Drosophila melanogaster: one gene and its partners. The protein of the gene in region 2 interacts with the protein of the main gene of each other region in a pairwise test. Each region holds a gene or a part of one and is shown on either strand. Other genes may lie near its edges.

The links. Proteins that work in one complex are often made in the same cells at the same time.
Region 1: the proteins of CG9933 (region 2) and Pp1alpha-96A interact in a two-hybrid assay, tested with the Drosophila melanogaster proteins (2 studies listed by BioGRID).
Region 3: the proteins of CG9933 (region 2) and Pp1-13C interact in a two-hybrid assay, tested with the Drosophila melanogaster proteins (one study listed by BioGRID).

The regions. Positions count from the first base shown.
Region 1 is NT_033777.3:24,516,599-24,524,543, reverse strand, and holds Pp1alpha-96A (protein phosphatase 1alpha at 96A), read right to left. Parts: upstream 6,275-7,945; 5' UTR 5,886-6,274; coding exon 5,837-5,885; intron 5,701-5,836; coding exon 5,352-5,700; intron 4,949-5,351; coding exon 4,663-4,948; exon of another isoform or gene 4,605-4,662; coding exon 4,457-4,604; intron 4,202-4,456; coding exon 4,050-4,201; 3' UTR 2,213-4,049; downstream 1-2,212. Other genes in the region: CG13622 (uncharacterized protein), read left to right, coding at 1,112-1,954; DZIP1, read right to left, coding at 6,507-6,953, 7,012-7,168, 7,224-7,945.
Region 2 is NT_033779.5:13,017,736-13,025,207, forward strand, and holds CG9933 (uncharacterized protein), read right to left. Parts: upstream 3,578-7,472; 5' UTR 3,444-3,577; coding exon 2,496-3,443; intron 2,192-2,495; coding exon 2,063-2,191; intron 1,995-2,062; coding exon 1,941-1,994; 3' UTR 1,840-1,940; downstream 1-1,839. Other genes in the region: Ube4B (ubiquitination factor E4B), read right to left, coding at 94-321; CG9932 (uncharacterized protein), read right to left, coding at 5,588-7,472.
Region 3 is NC_004354.4:15,356,889-15,362,600, forward strand, and holds Pp1-13C (protein phosphatase 1 at 13C), read right to left. Parts: upstream 4,174-5,712; 5' UTR 3,903-4,173; intron 3,834-3,902; 5' UTR 3,450-3,833; coding exon 2,541-3,449; 3' UTR 2,213-2,540; downstream 1-2,212.

The DNA.
Region 1 (7,945 bases), on a different chromosome or scaffold from region 2:
AACGACCAATGACCGAGCCACCCAGCAACCCTGTTCGTTGCTGTTGTTTGCCCTTTCGATTTAATTTTCCCCCGCTATGCGGTTCATTGAACCTTACCTGGTTGTCAACATAATTTATGGCCATAATATGGGGTATATATGGCTTATACGATATTCACGCTTCGCTCTCTTCGAGGAAGTCAAATCGAACCACTTAAGCCGGACACTTGAGCGGACTTAGCGTACATTCTACAAGTGCACAGGAACTAGTTTTTATTGGGTCAATATTTGGCAACATTTGGTGTGCTGAAATCACAACAGTCGAATTCTTGCACAAATGGGAAAACTAATTTTGGGTTAAGCGAATTGGCTAATCTTATGGGTGGCTACCGCTAAATTAAATGCACAATTTGGATTAACGGGCATCATTAAAACTGGAAGTCCGTAAAATAGGTAATTGGGAAATCAAAAATTTTCAGAAAAATCCAAAGATGAAATCTTAGTTGCAAGCATGTGTTTATATATTTAGGATTTTCACTTTCATTCCTTTTTAAAAATGTATAATAACAATGCAAATCACAATGTATATATTAACTATCAAATCAAATCAAAAAAATTATACCTTTTGCTTTTGATTCTTTAAATTCGCTCTGCTTCATCCCATCAATCTCTTTTGATCATTTACAACACTATTCTTTGATTGTAATTCTACGATTGAACTCATGGTACCGAATTCAAGTTTGTTGCCTAAGTCTTTCGTTTGGCCAGCACATTTTTTTGTCCAACTGGGCTTAGGCATCCACTTGTATGCGTGTGGACATGAGTCTGCCAGCAAGTGTTTGGCCAAAAATAAACGGCCCAAGGACCTCGACATGTGTCTATGGAAACTGTTGCAATTGTTGTTCAAATATAAACAAACGATATGCGAGTGCTTAGCTGAGCCGGCTAACGGTATATACATATGGTATGATGATTGGTGATAAAGTACCAGACCATAAGTGTGGAAACCGGTTGTCGCCAGTAGTCTCTCAACATTCATCGGGCACGCAATCAGTTTGGGGAATAGAATAATCTGAAAGATAAGTAATTATCACTGAAATCATCGGAAAATCTAGACGCAATAGTTTCCAAAATGCACAAATGCTATTGTGGCGTAATGAGATCGGGAAGTGAGCGGCAGTCGCAACATCTTGCGCTCAATCGAGATCATCATCCACGTGGCGATCTCAGGTCGGTGACCTCTTCTTCCAGACAAAGCCTACGACCCACCCAATTTATAAAACGTCCGAGCGTAAAGAACCAGCCCAGATTTGGCCTAGGCCACTCCAGCACCGAGTTGGTCAATGACTTCAGTCGCCGGAACTCCACAGCCACCACGGTGAGTCACTGCTCCAGCTGCAGCTGCAGCTCCTCCCAGCAACGTCAGCAGAGCAGGGCCAAGGTTTTGCGATGGGGCTGGGAACGAACAGGAGGTATTGACACCTCGAACACGAACCATCATGAAAGGTACACGGACAATCGTCGCCTTTACGAGCAGAGCGCATGCGTCGCCAGTCGCCAGAGGAGCCAAGGTCAGGGTCAGGTTTACAGTGGCAACTCGACGCCATCGCCACGCCCAGTTCAGTATCCCAAACAACAGGCGAACGATGAGCTGCAGCAACTGAAGGCCCTGCAGCACTTCCGCCTGATGAACACAAGCGAATGCTTCAGTGATGTCCGCCAGGATAAGCTGCGCCTGCAGCGGGCATATGATAAAATCATTTTCAACAACTCGGACAAGTGGAACAAAGATCGCGCCAATGAGAGCAGGCAACAGGAAGTGACGAGGAGCAGCAGCAGCAGCACCACCACCACACCTTATGCCTTAAGGCAGAAGTTGCTCCAGCTGAGGCTCCAGGAGGATGAGCGACATGGCAGGGGCACGGGTGGCACATGTGCTCCTTTGGGAAAGAGTTGCTCACTGCGATATAACTAAACACAAAGTGCTATACAAAGTAAATTTAGTGCAATATATTAAGCAACATAAAGTAAAGTTATAAATAAGATTTTAAAGTCCTCGAAATGCTTTAGATTGTAACACCAACTATATAGACAATAAATAATAGATTTGCTTTTTTAAACAAGAAACTAACATGCATTTCACTCAAGTAAAAACACATCTCGAATTTCATATTTATTGCTAGTATGTATTTCAATTTTTTTTTTAATAAAACAGTGCTATTTTGTTACAAGTGCTTCGTCATTGTGTTCATTTTGTTTAATTTGTATTTTTTTGTTTCATTTTTTAGCTCTTTTTTAAATGATTTTTTTGTTTGTTATTTTTTTATTGTATTTTATTTTTTTTGCAATTTACGCTTTGAATGCATTATAAATTTACCCCATCTGTCTTTTCTAATTTCCTTCTTGGGGTCAATTACACTTTAATTTTACGATATTACGTTATAGATTTCTTATGACTTGTGTTTTTTGGGGGTTGAAAACAGCCGATGTCGTACTGGATCGCATTATTACAAGTACATATATAGTCGTAAATATACGTTGAATTCATTACAACATTGAACAGAGTACTAGAGTGTGAAATAGAAGAGGACTCATGCTTTGCTTTTGGTTTTGTTTTTTTTTTTTTGTCCGTAGGTTACACGATTGTTGTTAGTAGGTTGCTTGGTTGTCGGGCGGGGATTGGATTGGATTGGATTATACAAACGAAACCATTTTGGGTAACTTGCGTCCGGCTGCATCGCTCCGGATCGCTGCCTGCCTGCCTGGGCATAATACTTGTAATTGAATGTGGCGGCCTTTAGCACTAGAATGTTGCGACGTTAGTCGTAGAATGCAAAATACACAAAAGTGTACACTTGTACGATAAACAGTGTTTGTGTCTGTGTTTGTTGCGCTGCTGTTTACAAATATTTTATTACTTGCTTATTTTTGTTTCGATTTTTTTTTCTATATTTCGTGTGAGTTTCACATGCACTTAATGGGTCTGGGGCCGCTGCTTTCCTTTCGTCTGGGCGGGGGATTAAAAGGGGGTAACATTATCTGCCTCGTCGCTGACATCAGCAGAGAGCACACAGTGCCGCTCAAAAGCGTTCGCCTTAAGGTAGATTTTCAATTCGGGTTTATTTTTGTCTATATAAACATACTTTTCAGGGTTCTCCTTAAAATCGTGTGTGCGTGCTTGCCTGTATGTGTGTGTTTGTGTAATGCAAACAGTTAAAAAATATTCACAATATTTGTTTATTTTAATATTTTTGGTGTAAACAATTCAAGCTTTTGTAGCTTGCAACTAAAATTGCTTTCCTCGTTTTAAAACTAAGTAAACATGTATCGATGTCAAATATTACAAAAATAAATCGTGCTTCGAGTACATACATATGTAATATGTAGTAACCTCAACTCACATTTAAAAGCATTCTCGTACAGTTTAATTAACATAAAATTTAACATTGTTACCATTTGCTAATATTCCCTTAGATACGCAAAAAAAAAAAACAAGGAAGAAGGGAAGTGTGGTTAAAGACCTTTGCCAAAGGTGCCGCCAGGATCGGCATACATAATTAAAATGCTGTGCGAGTTGGAAATGCAAATTAAAATACAACCGGTGCGTGCACTTATGGTACCTACTGTACGGATGATCTGAGCATGTGTATGTGTGTGTGTGTGTGTGAGTGTGTGGGTTTTGCGCAAGGAAATATTATAACAAAATTAATACATTAGGAGATAAAATATTCTTGCTTATGCAGTGTCTTACACTACCATTAGTTTGAACTAAAGTGTCTCGATTTGTGTTTTCTGGTTTCTTAATTTCATTTCATTCGTTTCGTTTTCCTTATTTGTTTTTGTTTTTTTTTCCTTTTCAAATGAAAGATAGGCTAATTTGTGTAGATTCATATTCCCCATATAACGTTGCTCACGATTCGATTACACGTTTATGATAAAAACAAACTCTCTGCGCTTTCCGTTGAATGTGGACACACGGATTCTCCTTTCTGTTTTCCCTATTTGTGTTTTGTGTGTGTGGCCGTTTGTAGTTGCTGTTGTTGTTGTGCTTCGTTCGAGGTGTGCAGTGTTTATTTTTTCTTGTTTTTATTGTTAGCTCCGCGTGGCGGTGTCAAAGGACGTCCTGAGCTGCCAAAGTTGGGATAAACAAATCGTCGCTTGTCGGCGGGTTTCAATATCTGGAAGGAGCACATCAATGTGTCGTCCACGGACATCATGGCACCTGTAAACGTAATCAATAATGATTAATCAATTCATTAGAAGCGGGTGTCGTGCATAGGTAGTTTCATTCTCGGTATTGATTATTGATTATTTTTAAATGCGCATTTTCCGAGTTGAATTTAAATCTGGTTGCCAGCTTTCACTTGCCGACAGCTTATCGGCAGGCAAAATCACCGAGTACAAGGGTGCAACGTGGTTGTTCTCCAAATAAACAAGGTTTATCTCCGACTAAAGTCCCCGAACAATGATCACTTACCCGCGTTGTCGAATTCCCCGCAGTAGTTGGGCGCCGAGAAGAGCGTCACCAGCTGACGTTTGGCGAAGAACTCATAACCGTCCTCCACTACCTGATGAGCCCGACAGATCAGGTCAAATTCGTGCTTCTGTAAAAATTTACCCACAACCTGCAAGAGCGAATGCATAAACAACATTGTGGCGAACAGTGTAATGCGAAGAACCCACCTCTGCTCCAAATGTGAAGCTCACGCCGCGATCATTCTCGCCCCAGCCCATGGTATCCTTATCCGGATCCGACCACAGCAGATCGCACAGCAGTCCCTGATCGGGCACGTCTGTGGGACGCATGATGCGTCGTATCTGCTCCATGGACGACAGATCTGGACTCAGGCCACCGTGGCAGCAGAAGATCTTCTCATCCACGATGGCGGCCACCGGCAGGCAGTTGAAGCAGTCCGTGAAAGTTTTCCACAGCTTGATGGTGTAGCGACGTTTACATTCGTCATAGAACCTGCCAATTAAGTGCAATTAGTTGAGTAATTTTATGGATTATTGCTATAGAATGTGGCATTTACTTTATGTATTTGAAGTATGGCTAATTTAATTGTAATGGATATCGTTGTGTGCGTCAATAAACTAGAAAGTATTAATAAGCTTGGAAGCATAAGTAGACATCAATATGTCTGGGAAATTTTTAAAGCTCACGTAAACAATAAACAACTATAAGTTCTATAGCATGTATAAAAGTACATAGTCATCAGAAGTAAATACGAGTCGTAAGAATAATATAAATTGTAATCAAATGAGTTTCAGTAATCTAAGCAGGAAAGCAAATTGTTTCGGTGCTGAACTGAACAGATTGCTAACCATTTCATCAAGCTTCATCCTGTTTTTGGAGCCGCCTCCCCACTTACCCGTAGATGCGATTGATGCTGGCGCACTCATGGTTGCCGCGCAGCAAGAAGAAGTTCTCCGCGTACTTGATCTTGTAGGCCAGCAGCAGGCATATCGTCTCCAGGGATTGCTTGCCGCGATCGACATAGTCGCCCAGGAACAGGTAGTTTGACTCGGGCGGAAAGCCGCCGTATTCGAACAGGCGCAAGAGGTCATAATATTGTCCGTGTATGTCGCCGCAGATCTTCAGCGGTGCCTCCAGCTCCAGGAGTATGGGCTGCGACAGGAATATCTCGCGGGACTTGAGGCACAGGCTGCGGATCTCGCTCTCTGATAGCTGAACATTCTTTCCCGGTCGTGCACCGCGCACTGCAATGGAAAACCAAGCAGGGAAAATTTACGTTAAGGTGATGAGAGTGGGCGGTGGTTGGGTGGCAAGGCATGTGGGGAATGGGTGATGATGGGTGGGGGCAAGGTAATCAAAAGTTGGAGCCCTAACACCTACCCTCCAGCAGGCGCGAGATGATACTGTCGATGTTCATGATATCCGACATCTTTGTGGGCCCGCTTGCTCAGCTTCCTGAAGTTCGCTTATCCGCCGATTGCAGCAACTGCTATTTCCCGTAACCCGTGTATTTTCGGTATACGTTCGTTATGTATGTTATTTCATCGATGGGCACGGGCTGCGTGTGCCTGTGTGTGTGTGCGCCGTGTCCGTGTGCGGATGGAAACTCGGTGCTGGGCTAATCTCGCCCTTTGGTCAGCTGGATGCACGGATTCGCGGATTCACTGCCTCGGTTGCTCACCCCTCTGAGGTTGGCTGACTTCAATCGTTCCGATCCTTAGCCAGCTGCCCTTTTATTGCATTTAATGCACGTTTTACTCGCGACGTACTAAAAAATTTTCATCTACGTTGGTTAGTGACGTCGATTGTTTACAGCGCGAGTCGATTGCCTATCGATTGCCTATCCATTGCACGGCGCGCAGCTATCGGTAAAAGGTAGTGTGACCGGAATATGCAAATTCATTTAAAAAACAATATTTTTTAGTTAAGTACGGTACATTGAACAGGTGATAGGTACTCATAAAGGAATATAATTATCTTATGATATATTGGCTATTAAACGTATCGTTGACATTTATACCCAAAGTATTATAATATCATCTTTATTGACTCATTTTAGGTTATCATCGCTGTCATTGAAGCTCTTCCCGTCCTCCGTGGTGTTGAACATCACCCGCTTCCTGGGCAGCGGAACTGGCCTCGAACTCAGGGACGACTTGGAAGCTCCTCGAATAGTGGCCGCCGGCTTGACCAGGATCTCCTCCAGACGAGCCTTGAAATCGCGACTAACTAGTCTTTGAGGACTGGGGCTTCGAGTTTGCTGTTCGCTGCTATCCGTTTGCTCATCCGTCTGCTCTTCGCCTTGAGAGCTGGCTATATCCTCTTCAGACTTTTCAGAGATCGCAGACCTCGGGATCCCTTTGCCTGGAACCTCCATTGGCTTGAGTGGACTCTTGTGCTTCAGCAACATTTCCGCGCGTTCCGAGAACTTGGCGGAGCACAGTTTTTCGACAAACTTGCGGATGCGATTTCGAGTGGCGTAAAAATGTGGATGTTGCTAAAGGGTATTCCAGAATTGTCAAAAGTTCATTAGTTTTTGGCAGTTATAGGCTTACCAGTTTCAGTTTGTTGCGGTGCTCTGTCAGCTCGGAGTTCACTCTCTTCAAAGAGTTATGCGAAATACCTTTGGACTTCATATCGAAGCCGTGAGACATCAACTTCCGGTTGACCATCTTCCGGGCATCCTTGCGAGTAAGTGGTTTTTGAGGGCTCCTTAAAACATGTGGATTATTATTACTCTAAGAAAGCTTAACATCGAAACACTCACTTGATGATTCTTCCAGAAGGCTTGATTGTTTTTGGCGTTGGATCCTCTCGTGCTGCTTCCGACCCGGAGGTGGGAACATCGGTCCCCTCCTCCTCTGTCAGGCTGCGCTCCTCTTCGTTCTCCGTCTCTTCTTGGCTGAGACTATCGCTTACGTCCGTGGCTTCTTTCGTTTCCTGCTTATTAGGAGCAGGTTCCCTTGGAGATTTCGTATAAGTCGGATTGCTGTCCGAACTTCCAGCACTTGGCTGCTCCTTTTCCACCACTTGAACTTGGGTCACCAGCTGTGGGAATGGTTTCTCCGAACCTTTTCGTGGCGCCTCCTCAATGGAATAGGTGTCATCGTCATGTTTCTGTTTGAGGAACTCGCTCTCCACCTGCTTGCGAATCCGATCAATGTTGGTTTCCTCCTTGCGAACCACCGGCTTGGGTATTTTCGAGGCAACTGGCACAGTCTGCACAGGCTCTGGCTGCACCTTTTGAACACTCAGCTGCTTGAGCTCTCGCTCCAGTGCCCCTAGCTTCTCCTTGTAGCCCTCCTCAAGGTGATAGACCACCTCTTCCAGCCTGTGTGCGCTGACCTTTCCAATCTCTGCCACCTTCTCAGTGAGTATGCGCTCCAGATCCTCCAGACACGGCGTGGCCACCCGATCTTCCAGCGGAGGCGTGCTGGCGGATGCCTGTTTACTCTGCTCGAGTGCGTGGCTCAGGCCCTCCAGCCTCTT
Region 2 (7,472 bases):
TTCCTTTTACAAAATAGTTTACTTGTATTATTGATTTAGATAACTTTAAATATGATATTTTGTTGCTTCATTAAGTTTGCGAAAACGATATACCTCTTCTGCGGATAATTCGGTGACCACCACAGACTCGGCCGGCTGTTGCGGCTGCACATCGGGGTTGGGTTGCTCAGGCAGTTGCTGACCGGGTATCTCGCCCTGCGCTAACTGGGGCTGCTGATCCTGTTCGTGCTGATCCTGTTCGTGGTCCTGATCCTGATCCTGCTCCTGATCATCATCCTCCTCCTCCTCCATGGGCTTTTGTGGCGGCTCTTCTTCCGGCATTTCTCGGATCCGCTGGTACTCTGGGAAACAATGCGCAGTTGTGCTACCAAATCTGTTTTCGCCTCTCTCACTGTTTTTGTTTGTTTGTGGCGTAGTTTTTCCGCCGCTTCTTCTGATGCTGCTGCAAAATAAGAGGCGATGATGTGGGTTAATGAACCAAACAAAAGCACGCGCACTCGACAAATAAATAAAATAACAAATAAAGAGAAAATTAAAACAAAGTCCAGCGGTCAACGTCAAGTTCACGCGAAGACAATGCCGCCATCGCCAAAACCAGATGGATTGGCCGTTTCTCTTTGTGCTACGCAACTACGCACTAGATGGATGATGTGCAGCATAGCTGGGAGCATACCAGGACAACTGACCTGCCGCACACAGTCAGTGTGCGAATCAAAAGCGGACGCAGATCGGCCGAGGTTGACAAAAAGTGCACGGCTGCAACTATTTTTAGAAGAGGATTTCTCGAGCACTGGCGCTGCACTGCACCCAAAACAAGTGCAGTAAACAATATCATAACATATGCGGAATCGGATGGCGAAACCTTATATAATGTTTAGGGATAGCCGATCGAATAGGATCGGATCGGCACGGGATATCACCAGCTCATTTGCGCATTTGAGACGGCGGATAAAGTACACAAAATCGTGGGATATATAATCGGACATAGGTTCGATGTGAGGGTGTGTGAAATACGGAAAATCGAGGATTGCGCCGCACATATATTCGCACTTACCTGACTCTACGGACCGACTTTCACCTGCTGCAAAACGTATTGGTTGTGCTACGGCCCGTAACTATTGCATTTTACGGAACTCTATATGGTTTCGACAATTCACCCGAACAATTCCACGTCTGGTGGTGACCACGCAAAAAATTTCTCTTTTGTTCTGCGAGCTTCGTGGGGATTGGTTATCGGCCCTCGGCTGGCTATATCTATGTGGGGATCGCCCGAATGCGATCCGTATATCGACACAAATGCTTCACTGGCCAGGCGATGGGCTCAAGAAATACAGACCTCCGAACTTTCCTCCAATTGAATTACTTATAATTTTTGGGTTTCGCGTCAGTCGACGAACAGTGTTTCAGTTTGGTCTGGTGGCCGACAGTCACACTGGCCGCGGCGTGGTCACACTTAAAGATGGAATGTTCGCCGATAGTTGCTTTAACCCTTGCAGGGCCCTCATATTTTTATGATTTCATTATCGAATTTAAAATTTCGTTAAACATCCGAAAAGTTGTGAATCATTTGAATACTATTTGTAATTTTAAATTTGCACTTTTGTTTTTGCCTTTAATTGCAATAATGTTCTCTAAGCATCTATACCCAATTTATATATCCTTTTTGCTCTAAGAGAACTAGTTTGAAAATATCTGAAACTATTGTTTGTTTGTCGTTTGAAAATATTTAAATATCGCTGAATTACTAGGTGCGAACTGATTAACGATGGGAAATCAAAAATTAGGCCTACCAAAATGGTTATATTCCTCATGACACATAATGAAAAGCAAGTGTTGTTTAGTTATTTTTGTTCAACAAAAGAAAATCATTTACTTCATTTTACAAAAATGTTACAATTATGTGGAACCTAATTATGAACCTAATACCTAAGTAACCGCTACTAGAAATCCGTGTATCGCTGTCGCAGACTCTGCCTTTTGGCAACGTGATGCATCTGCAAAACACAAGCATTTGAATTACAAACTGGCATTATATGTGGTTTTAATTAGGATAAGGACTAACCAAGCGCTGCTGACGTCGTTCTCGATTCATTTCGTAGGCCTTGAGCAGCGAGGGGCACGTGCGCTTGATGAACTCCTCCGATTGCCAGAAGAGTCCGCCTTGGTTCTCGTAGCGCAGAAGGAATTCAACCTGCAAGGATATTAAGGTTATTAAATGATACCTACAATTGGGATAGAGGGCAAACTACATAAGATTCAGACTGTTTAAAAGTTTTCCTTCGCTTTACAAAGTAAAGAAAGCTGATCTTTGGCTTATTTATTTTGTAAAAGCAAAAGTCATATAGCAAACCTTTTCCAGCTTAGAATTTTTGTTTACTAAATATGATATGAATAAACCAACAATGTGTTGTAAATGAAACTGTAATCGAATTCATAGAAAATTTGTGAACCCTAAACCGTACTGATAGTTTATTGCTTTCGTATTGCAAACGTACCTTTCCCGCCTTGGTCTCCTTGCCCAGAATGCGTTCAATGCCATTCTCGGGCTTGATGCGTCTGAAGAAGTCCTCGTCGTTGTACTCGGTGACCACCTCCTCGCCGACTTCGTTTAGCATATCCTCGATGCTGAGCAGTCCATCCTGCAGCCGCTCGCCGTTCTGTTCGACGCGCTGCACGTATGTCAACGGGTGCTGCTTGAGGTAATCCTCCGCCTCGGCGATTGTCTTGGCCAGATCGAACTCCTCCTCCGCCTCCTCCTGCTCATCGTCATCGTTGTCCTCGTACTCACCGTCCAGCTCCATGCCATCACAGTTAGCGCCGCTGGGCGAGGAGGTTCGTTTGGTATGCATGGAGCGTCGCTTTCTTTTCATCCAGTTCCCGCCGTCGTTTTCCTTGACGTCCGGATGGAAGCGTACCTTCTTCACGCGCACGGACGACGAGGCGGAATCTGTTGTTTCGGGGGTGGACTGGCTGGGTGTCTGCTGCGACTCCAGCATGCTGCCGCTGATGCTACTAGAGGCGGACGTGGGTGTTGATGTGGATGTGGATGCTGATACGGAGGCGCCGGTGCTCTCCGCCAGCGTGGTTTCCTTGAGGTTCTGTGATATAAGCTTGACTTTCGTCTCGAAGGCAGTGCATGGAGATGTGGGCGATTTGCTGGCCGGATGTTCTGGTGGGGATTGACTGCTCTGCGGACTGTCGCCCTCGCCGCACGACCCCGCCGCAGCTTCAGTCTTGTGATCCGTCTGCTTGCCGGCTCCCTCCATCGAACCGGATTCCTTGTTAATCGATTCCGCAGCGGAATCCCTGCTGCAGTTGTCCAGATCTCCGACTGTGGAGTCTCCGTCGCCCGTCGTCGTTGTCTCCACCATCACACACTTGATTTGCATAGATTTGTCCAGCGAGTCACTGCCAGCCGAGTCATCATTGGACTTGGTATCCATGTGTTTGGGTGGCTCCGTGTTCTCTGCGTTGGCTCTCTATCGTTTTGCGGCTCTGCTAAAGTTCAATTTTAGCTAAATGCATCGCAATTCATTTGTAATCTTTCAACAAAACGGCTTTCTCAGTGTTACCGTACCGACAACTATGAAATATACCCTCAAATTTGCGTAGCTGACTTGGCAGCGATTGTGAAACGATTGGAATTGCAACAGGGAGCTAAATAGTATATATGATTTTATATTTTCTTTGGCTCTTTTGATTATTTGGAGAGTTATTATTTAAGTATCTCAGTAAGAGTAATCTGGAATAGCATTGCATATCCCTTTTTGATTATTATTATTTTTTCTTTAATTAAAAGAAAAAGAGTAAAATAATCTTTTGTTCCACATTCAATCGTTTCACAGAGTTGCCGTATCTTGAAAGTCACTTTTAAATTGATATACCGCTATACCGTTACGCAGGCTACCTTTCAAATTAAAATTCCGTTAAAAAAGAATGCTTGATTTTGATGTTTGATTTCAGTAAAGAAAAAAGAAAAATGTTGAAGTGCTTTCAATTTAATAGAAGTCAATGAACTATTTTGCATTATGATTTGAATTTTTAGAAACTACTTTTGGCGTTTAGATCTGAACCCAATTATTCGATTTCTTTTTTAAATAGAAGTACCAAACATACAGATAATCGGTCAATTGTAAATGCAACTTGTGTTGTTTTTATTTGATTTCTTTATTAACAATTGTTTTTGTACATTTTCTCTTTTGTAATTCAATGCCGTAAATCTTATTGTGTGTTTGTGTGGTGTGTGTAAGTGTTGCGTGTGGTTGTGTGCGCAGTAAACAAAACTAAGTTATTTACACTAGCTTTAAGTTTAAATGTAGTTCAATGTTAAGGACTATTTAATATATAATATATTGTGTGTATAGATATTCGTATCGATATAAGATGTATATATGCATATCAAAGGCGGTTTGCATTTATATCCAAGTTAGATTCTGTATACATATCGCTTGTTTGCGCTATATCTTCTGGTTTTGATTTGCTTTGTTTTCAAATGTTTCCTTGCATTAAGTTTAAACTATTTAAATATGGCCCCGCTATTCCACATGTGTTCTTTTTGTTTGCTTATAGTTTAATGATAACATTTTGTTTGTAGTGTTAACGCCTACACTGTGCTACAAAGACGCCGTTTGCTGGAAAACATTCGCACTAATGATGAGAACATAACTAATCCGTAGTAGAAACTAATTACTATTAACTAATTTTAAATGTGTGCTGCACTTGTACAAAATAATATTGCAAATATTGCAAAAAATTCCCTATTCTCTGTTGATTTTTCAATTGCATTTTAAATGTGTTTCTTTTTGTTTCTATAGTTTTTATTTTTGCAGCAGCTGTGTGTAAATATATATATATGTATAGATTTATATAGTATGTATATAGTACCATATTCATTGCATGATATACGCGCTCACTTTCTTATTTCTTTTTTTTTTTGCATTTACAATTATCAATAATCACAGTTCCCATTCGAAAAATTAAACGAATTATTTGTAGCAAGACATAATTTTGAATTTATCTCTTTTTCTCCTGTACAAAGTTGATTTCCTTGAAACGCTTTTGGATCTTGCTCGGATTGGGTTGGTTTTCCAATTTAATATATTAAGCCGATGGTAAATATATATATATAGGTTCTATATTAAAATGCCTTCTATAGTTATCTCTTTGATAAGTTACAATACGATTAGTTTAAATTACATTTTGCACCGTTCTAGCAAGTAATTACATTAAGAATTCCGGCTTATCCCATTTGCAAAGTATTCGAATAATGGTATTTCATTCCTTTTTTGTTTATAAATTATCGTTACTTAATTACCTTAGGTTCTAGAAAAAACGTAAAAGTGCAGGAACATGTTCCAACTAGGTGTGTATAAGTGGGTGTGTGTTAGTGACAATAGAAATCCCAAAACAGGTGCCTAAAACGAATCCCCAACTCCACTAACGCATACCCAAAAAAAAATATGGAAAAGCATAAGCAACAACAAAATATTAACAAAACCAAAACTCACTTAAATCGAAAAATAACCATAAGCTTAGTTGGATAAATTATGGATTAAATTAAATAAAAGGTTCGACCCTTGGATGTGGCCTACTTTCTGGAAATGACTTTGCCCGTCTGGGCATTGACCAGTATCATTTTTTCCGGTGTTGCGGGTCGCTCCTGGCCGGAGGTGGAAGTGGCGTCCTCCGACTGGTTGGCACTTCCCCGAAGGATCCTTCTGCGCAGGCGATCGCTGATATTCTCGCTCTTCTGGGACTCTGAATTGGCGCCCTCATCCTGGGAGAGCTTCACACTCAAGCCGCCATCGTTCTTGTACAGAATCAACTTTGTGCTGGACTTTTTGGCCGACGACTCCTCCATTCCCTCGACAGCTGGCTGTTCATCTGGGCCGCTGCTGCTTGGCTGCTGTTGCTGCTGCTGCTGCACATTGGCGTTCATCACATTGTCCTGGTTGTTGTTGTGCTCGGTCTGCTCCACCTTTGAGTCAGCGGTTTCTTCCGGTTCCCGCTCAACGCTGATCTCCAGCTGATCGTAGCAGGTAAAGAACTCCACGGACTTGAGCTTCTCACCAGCATTGAAATGCAGCGCCGTGTGCTCCTCCATTTCCGCCTCCTCATTGGCATTGTAATCACAATGGGCACATTTCTGGCAGTTCGGAGGTGGAGGATTTACGCAGGCGTGCTTCTGTAGATGCTGCATCAGCTCCTCGTGCTGCTGCGTCTCGAATGGACAGTGGAGGCAGCGTTCCGGTGCCGGAATGGACTGGGGCATGTCAACGGATCCTGCATCACTGCTGCCATCTGCGGCCAAATCACTGGTGGCCACCGAAGCGCTGGTCGACGGTGTGGAGCTGCTATGTCGCTCCTCGTCCTCCTCGGGGACTTCCGCCTCGTTTTTGTTAACGGATACTTTCAGGGGAAGTGGGACCATCTGACCACCGCCCGATTCCAGCTGCTTCTTGAGCAGAGAGTTCTGGTTGTCAAACCCACCGGTGGAGGTACTAACTGCACCGCCGGTAGTCTGCTGCAGCAGTTGCAAGCTCAATTCGTTATCCACCACCCAAATGGTTTCGGGACCAGTCAGCTGCAGCAACTTGGGTGCCGGATACTCGACATCCTCCTTGCAGTTCCTATAGAGCTCCTGGCACTTTTCCTGGTAGTGGGACATGTGCACCGCACGGTGCAGTTGGAGCATAGTCTCCTCCGACGTACGATACTCACAATAGGCGCAGACATAGCTCGGATCCTGATCCTCCGGCTCCTGATCGCTGTGGGCCAGCAAATGCTGCTCTAGCTCTTGCTTGGCATTGCGCTCGTCATTGTGCTTCTGGGCAAAGCGAGCCGGACACCTGGGACAGTAACTAATCAGCTTGTACTGGTACTCCGGCGGCAGTTGCTGTGGATTGAGCTCCGCATCGGAGGCGGCATCCATCTGGATCTGGGACAAATCGATGGAGAGTGGTGTTGAGGCGGGCAGTTGTTGCACCTGCTTGGCAGCTGCGGCCAACTGCAGGGCCACACTAAAGTCCAGACCCAGTGAGGCAGCTCCGCCGCCTCCTACTCCTCCGGCTGCTCCTGCGGCTGCACCTGCTCCCGATGCCACCATCTGCTGCTGGTGCACCGTTCTCATGTGGCTGCTCAGATGCTGCTTTTTGGCACACACAAATGTGCACAGGCGGCACTCGTATTGCGTGGGCTTGTGCAGCGACACATGGTAGTTCATCTGGGATTTGCTCTCCGAGATGTACGGACAGACCGGACACTTTTGCTGCTTGCTCTTGGTATTGTTGCCGCTGGATCCGATGGAGTGCTCTGTCGTGGTCGGCAGGCGGGTTATCTCGATCTGGTCATTCTGCTGCAACTGCAGCAACTCCTCGGCGCTGCTGTTGGCCACCACTGCTTTGCAGGCTGCTGCCCAATAGGCTGCCGCCGCTTGGATATCCTGCTGGGTGTTGGCCGCATTCACCACGGCT
Region 3 (5,712 bases), on a different chromosome or scaffold from region 2:
TTCATGTGGGCAGTGCCGATGTCGCTGCCAGCGTTAACTTTACCGTTAACGTTAACGCCACCGTCAACGTCAGCATCGAAGGATATGGCCATGGAATCCGCCCGCAGAGCCACCCACATCACCAACACACCCTCTGCTGGCCATTTCATTAGGCGCATAATTTGTAATTAATAAAATTATTCAAAGGCGACCAAAGGATGCTAATCTGTAACTTAAAGCTGAAGAAAGACGTCAGAAAAAAAAAACGGAAAAATGCTTACTATTAAAGAAATGCACAAGTTCAGTTATATTATGAACACAAAAATTATATCATTATGAGCTTGAGTTTAAAGACTTTATTTTAATATTAATAATATTAAAACCGAAATGATTAACAAATTATTTAAATTTAGCCTTTGAGTTCTAGCTAACAAAATGATTTGATATTAATGTATAAATCTGCACAAGGTTTTGAAATATTGTACTATAACTAACTCAAAAAATATATAATTTGAAATATATAATATTAAAGTTTGAAATTTTAACAAAGGTTTCTAAATAGTAGATCAATATTTGAGTGATCAAAAAAAAAAAAAGAAAAAAATAAATATATTTGAAGATTATTACAATATAATAGAAAAAATGTGCCTAATTTCTAATTAATAACTTTTAACATTTTTTATAAATCGCTTATATAAAAAACCAATGTTTTGTAGATGAAGAGATACTTAAATTTCTTCCAGTGCATACGAAACAATGAATCCCAGATACAAAACTTTAGAGCCAGAGCGAGATGGCGGAGTGAGTATGTATGTGTGTGTGTGTGTGTGCATGGGTGTGTGGGTGTGGCATGCCATATATCTCCACCTCTTTTTCGTCCAGAGGACAAATCAAATGCAACAATAGAAGGCAATTTGCAGCAAAAAGGATACAAATAAATGCGAGTAGCTAACCGGAAAAAGAGAAAACAATTGCACTGCTACCAAATTGCCAAATGTTGTCTGCATTGATTTCCTTTCTACTGCAACATGTACATATATATCCGTGTATCCATATAGAAATATACACATATATAGGTATCTGCTCTGCAGCAGCGACAAACACCGAGCATCTCACACACACATATCCCTTTCGTGCGAGTGTGTGTGTGTGCATAAGGACGCCATTTTAAGCAAGAAATACTCTTGGAAATGCAAAGAGAGTCCGGATTTGGCCAGTAAGTTGAATATTAAATTTGGTAGCTTAGTTGGAATAATGTTACCACATTTACTGGCATTTAAAATTAAAGATTAGCTTAAATAGATATGGTGTAGTCAGGATAATAATATTATATTTAACAAAAGAACAGATTACCTAATGAACTATAAGAATCTACATACATACGTCAATGTTAGATCTTCCATTGTTAAAATGTAATTTAAATATATTAAACAATACTTCTTATAAACATATTAAATAATAATTTAAATAAACAAATAGGGCTATCTATTTATGAAATAAAAATAAATAAGAGTACTGAATTGCCGCTGAACTTTTCTCTCCTGACAATCTGTTCTTCTCACTTGCTCAAATTTTTCTCTTCGACTTGGGTCGTCAACTTCATGATTTATTAACAAATTTGCGAAGAACATTTATTTATTTGCCGTTTGTTGATAAACATGTGACTTTGTTTTCTTTTTGGTCTCCCTTACGCTCTACCGCCATCTCGCTCCCACCCTTTGTATTTCATTGCCCACTTTCTTTTCTGATTGTTTACGCGCTAATGACCTCATTATATATATAATGTAATTTGTTGTTGCCACACTGGGTTCCTTTTCTCTATTGTTTTTTTTTTCATCTTGTTTTGACATAATAAAGCGTTTTTGGCGCAATTTGTTGTATCTTTGTCTCTGTTTTTTTGTTTGTCGTCTGTCTGCCAGCTCGCTCCCTCTCTCTTACGCCCCCATATCGCCCACTCATTTTACGTGTGCATGTGTGCATGTGTGTGCGTGTGCTTTGTTAATTTTTAAGCATTGTTAATATAATATGGCGGTGACTTCTGTCACCGAACACGAACAGATGGAGGTGAATCTCTTTTTCAGGGGGATCACCCACTTTTCACTCCGCCGGAATTCGTAGCACACTTTTCAGGGCTTCCACATTTGGGAAAGGTGCTTAAATTAAGAGTTGGATAAACTAGCTGACAAGATTAATTAGGAAATCGAAAAAAAACAACAATTAGATGAAAACACTTGAAATTTTAAATGTAAGTTTATTTTTGTAAAAGTCGCATATGGCGTTATTTTGCATTAGCTAAGCATAAGCTCTGCGTTCAAATCTCAGTGAACTTACACATATCATACAATATGCAAGAATTGGCTAGTGGATACCTCTGAAGACAGTTAGGATCCATGGAGGTATACGTTGTAGTTGAGCCATTTCCCTCGATCCGGTTGACTAGAGATGTATGTGGATATTATGATTTCGAACCGATTTCGTGTAGGATATTGTGAATGAGTCGCGTGCCGCGTGTTACAATATATAAGAATAAATCTAGAAGCGTCTACAGATCTCGCTGTCCTCTACTTCTTGCGCTTCTCGACAGGCTTCAGGATTTGGAAGGAGCACATGAGTGTATTGTCCACGGACATCATGGCACCAGCATTGTCGAATTCACCGCAATAGTTGGGGGCGGAAAACAAAGTGACCAATTGGCGCTTGGCAAAGAACTCGTAACCATCCTCGACGACTTGATGGGCACGACAGATCAGATCCAGATCGTGCTTTTGGAGGAACTTGACCACAACTTCGGCGCCAAAGGTGAAACTAACGCCACGGTCGTTCTCGCCCCACCCAATGGTGTCCTTGTCCGGATCGGACCACAGCAGGTCACAGAGTAGTCCCTGATCGGGAACATCGGTGGGACGCATAATACGACGGATCTGCTCCATCGAGGTAAGATCCGGACTCAGTCCGCCGTGGCAGCAAAAGATCTTCTCATCCACAATGGCCACAACTGGCAGACAGTTGAAGCAGTCCGTGAATGTCTTCCACAACTTGATGGTATATCTGCGCTTGCACTCGTCGTAGAATCCATAGATTCTATTAATGCTGGCGCACTCGTGATTGCCGCGCAACAAAAAGAAGTTCTCCGAATACTTGATCTTGTACGCCAACAGCAGGCAGATGGTCTCCAGCGACTGCTTGCCCCTGTCCACGTAATCGCCCAAGAAAAGATAGTTAGCCTCCGGCGGATAGCCGCCGTACTCGAACAGACGCAACAGATCATAGTACTGGCCATGGATATCGCCGCAGATCTTGAGCGGCGCCTCCAGCTCTAAGAGTATGGGCTGTGCCAGCAGTATTTCGCGCGACTTGAGGCACAGGCCCCGTATCTCACCCTCCGACAGCTGGACATTCTTGCCAGGCCGTGCGCCACGCACCTCCAACAGACGGGAAATTATGCTCTCCAAATTGAGAACCTCCGCCATGGCCTCGGTCTTGGGGGCCGCGGCTGCGTTGTCCGGGCTGGATAGGACAATCGTCTGGGACGCCGTTGGGGCTGCTTGTCAGGGACTCACCCTGAGATCGCGGCTGTCTGGAGAATGGGACTGGATCCTCGGCGGAGCTGGTCTATTTGGGTCACAAACTTAGCTTCTTGGGTGCAGCAAAATGTATGTCCTGATGACGTGCACTTTTTGTGATGATTTGTGAATTTTTCGATTTACTCAATACCAGGTGCTCAATACCAGAACATAACCGAATGGAATTGCTTCTTCTCGATATGTGGCGGTGAATTGTTTAGCGTTCAGCTTTTTTTTTCTTTTGATTCTTTCACAAAATGCCTAATAAAAATGTAGGACAAATTCTCGCTTCTAGAAAAAGTGAAAAGAAAAAGGTTTGACAGCTTGATTAGCTATATCGATTGAAATCGATTACCCTACCTTCTCTAAGTTCCTTCTAGTGGTGTGCAAAGTCCAGCTGTTGTAATCTAAATTCTAGAATCTAGACATTTGACCTCTGCGTGCTGTACTAGCAGTCGTCTTTAGATCGTGTTTTTTTTTTTTCGATTTCGCTTCTCCGGAAGTTAATGAAAATTGAGGATCTGATCGGATACACATGTGCTGTTCACTAAAACGCACTTTAATACTCTACATTCGCGCTTTTGCGGTATCTTAAAAATTTTAAAAAAAATTTTGATTCCGGAACGGTGACCTTTATACTTTTCAAAGACTAAACGAATGACAAATCGACGACAGACAAGTCAGTGACTACATCGCATTGTTCCAGTTCGTGTTTCATGGAAATGTGATGGTATAGTGATTTCTCAGAAACTTTTACAATAGAAAATATATATATTATATAAACGCATTTATTTGTATTTTCTTCGCATGTTCTAGGTTTTAAACTAAAATAAACGATACCTTAACCATCCTTATAAGCTGTCTTACATCCCGCGTTTGCAGTACTAGAAAGGTATTATTTAAGTTGGTCACCCCTGGAAAAGTGTGCCGACCCTCGTCTGACCCTCGCCCATTTGTTCATATTATCTCTGATTGAGTGGAAAACTTGAAGTTGCCGAGTGCCATTTGCTGTGCACCCCGGTTTTGGTATATTGTATATGAGCTTATTTCGTCGGATTTCCCGGCTAGTGTGGCCACTAATTAGCTGCAATTTGTTGGCGCAACTTGAAAAATGGCAGTGTAAACAGGGTATTTTCCAGTGTCCCAATAATGAGGCAATAACCCCGCATTTTTCACATACATACCATATATATACCATATATATATGTACACATAAGTATATTACATAAATAGCGAGCTGTTCGAGCTGATTGAACTGCTTTGTCGGCTGTTGGCGAAGGGCTCCACTGTACAGTGTGTATCGTGTGCTGGCGCACCGCAAAGCAAACATTCAAACATTCAAACAGCAGCGGCATCGTTTATTTTGGGGAAACAAAGGACCTCATTTTCCCCCATTTGTTTGACCAGCAAGGCAGCAAGGACAACAAGGACAACAGGGACCAACAACAAGCGGCCAAGTTTTATAAATGGCTTGGCCATTGTTGTGCGCCCGCCGCTGTTTGTTGAAATTAATTGGTGTTACACAAATGAGTAATTTTCAATGTACATAAATATTTGCACAAATTGCAATTTGTGTTGTGCGGCGGGGGATTGTCGGTGAGAGGGGGAGTAAGGGGGCGCACTCACTTTCGAGTGCTGTTCAAATAGCCATTTTTATTGTCAAGCGCTAATAATTTCCACAATGAATAATATGAACGGCAAGCATCTGTTATTATTCCAAACAAATCAAAACAAGTGCAGTCGAAACGAAACCGTGTGGGAGTGGGAGTGGGCCAAGACTCTTGAGTGCTGAGCCCTGAGCTTCTGAGCCAGTGATATTCAGAGTCCTGCATCCTGGGCATCCCACCCTGCGCTGGCATCCTGGCCACACACAAATCTTCATAAATTGCAACGGCCGGGGCGACAGTTTTGGGAATTGAGACAAAGTGCGAGAAGTGCCTGTGTACAGGGGCGAAATGCGAAAAGGGGTCGCCAAATGGGAAAATGATACACTTTACTTTACTTATTTTTACACATACACACACACGCACATACGGAAAGGACACCCCGTCGCACACAGACACAATCAAGGAGCAACAAATTGCCGCATAAATGTGGGGTGGTTCGCCACCTAATAGATTTTATTTTATTTTTATATCCGCCAGACGCGCAGCCAGCGGCCAACTTTTTT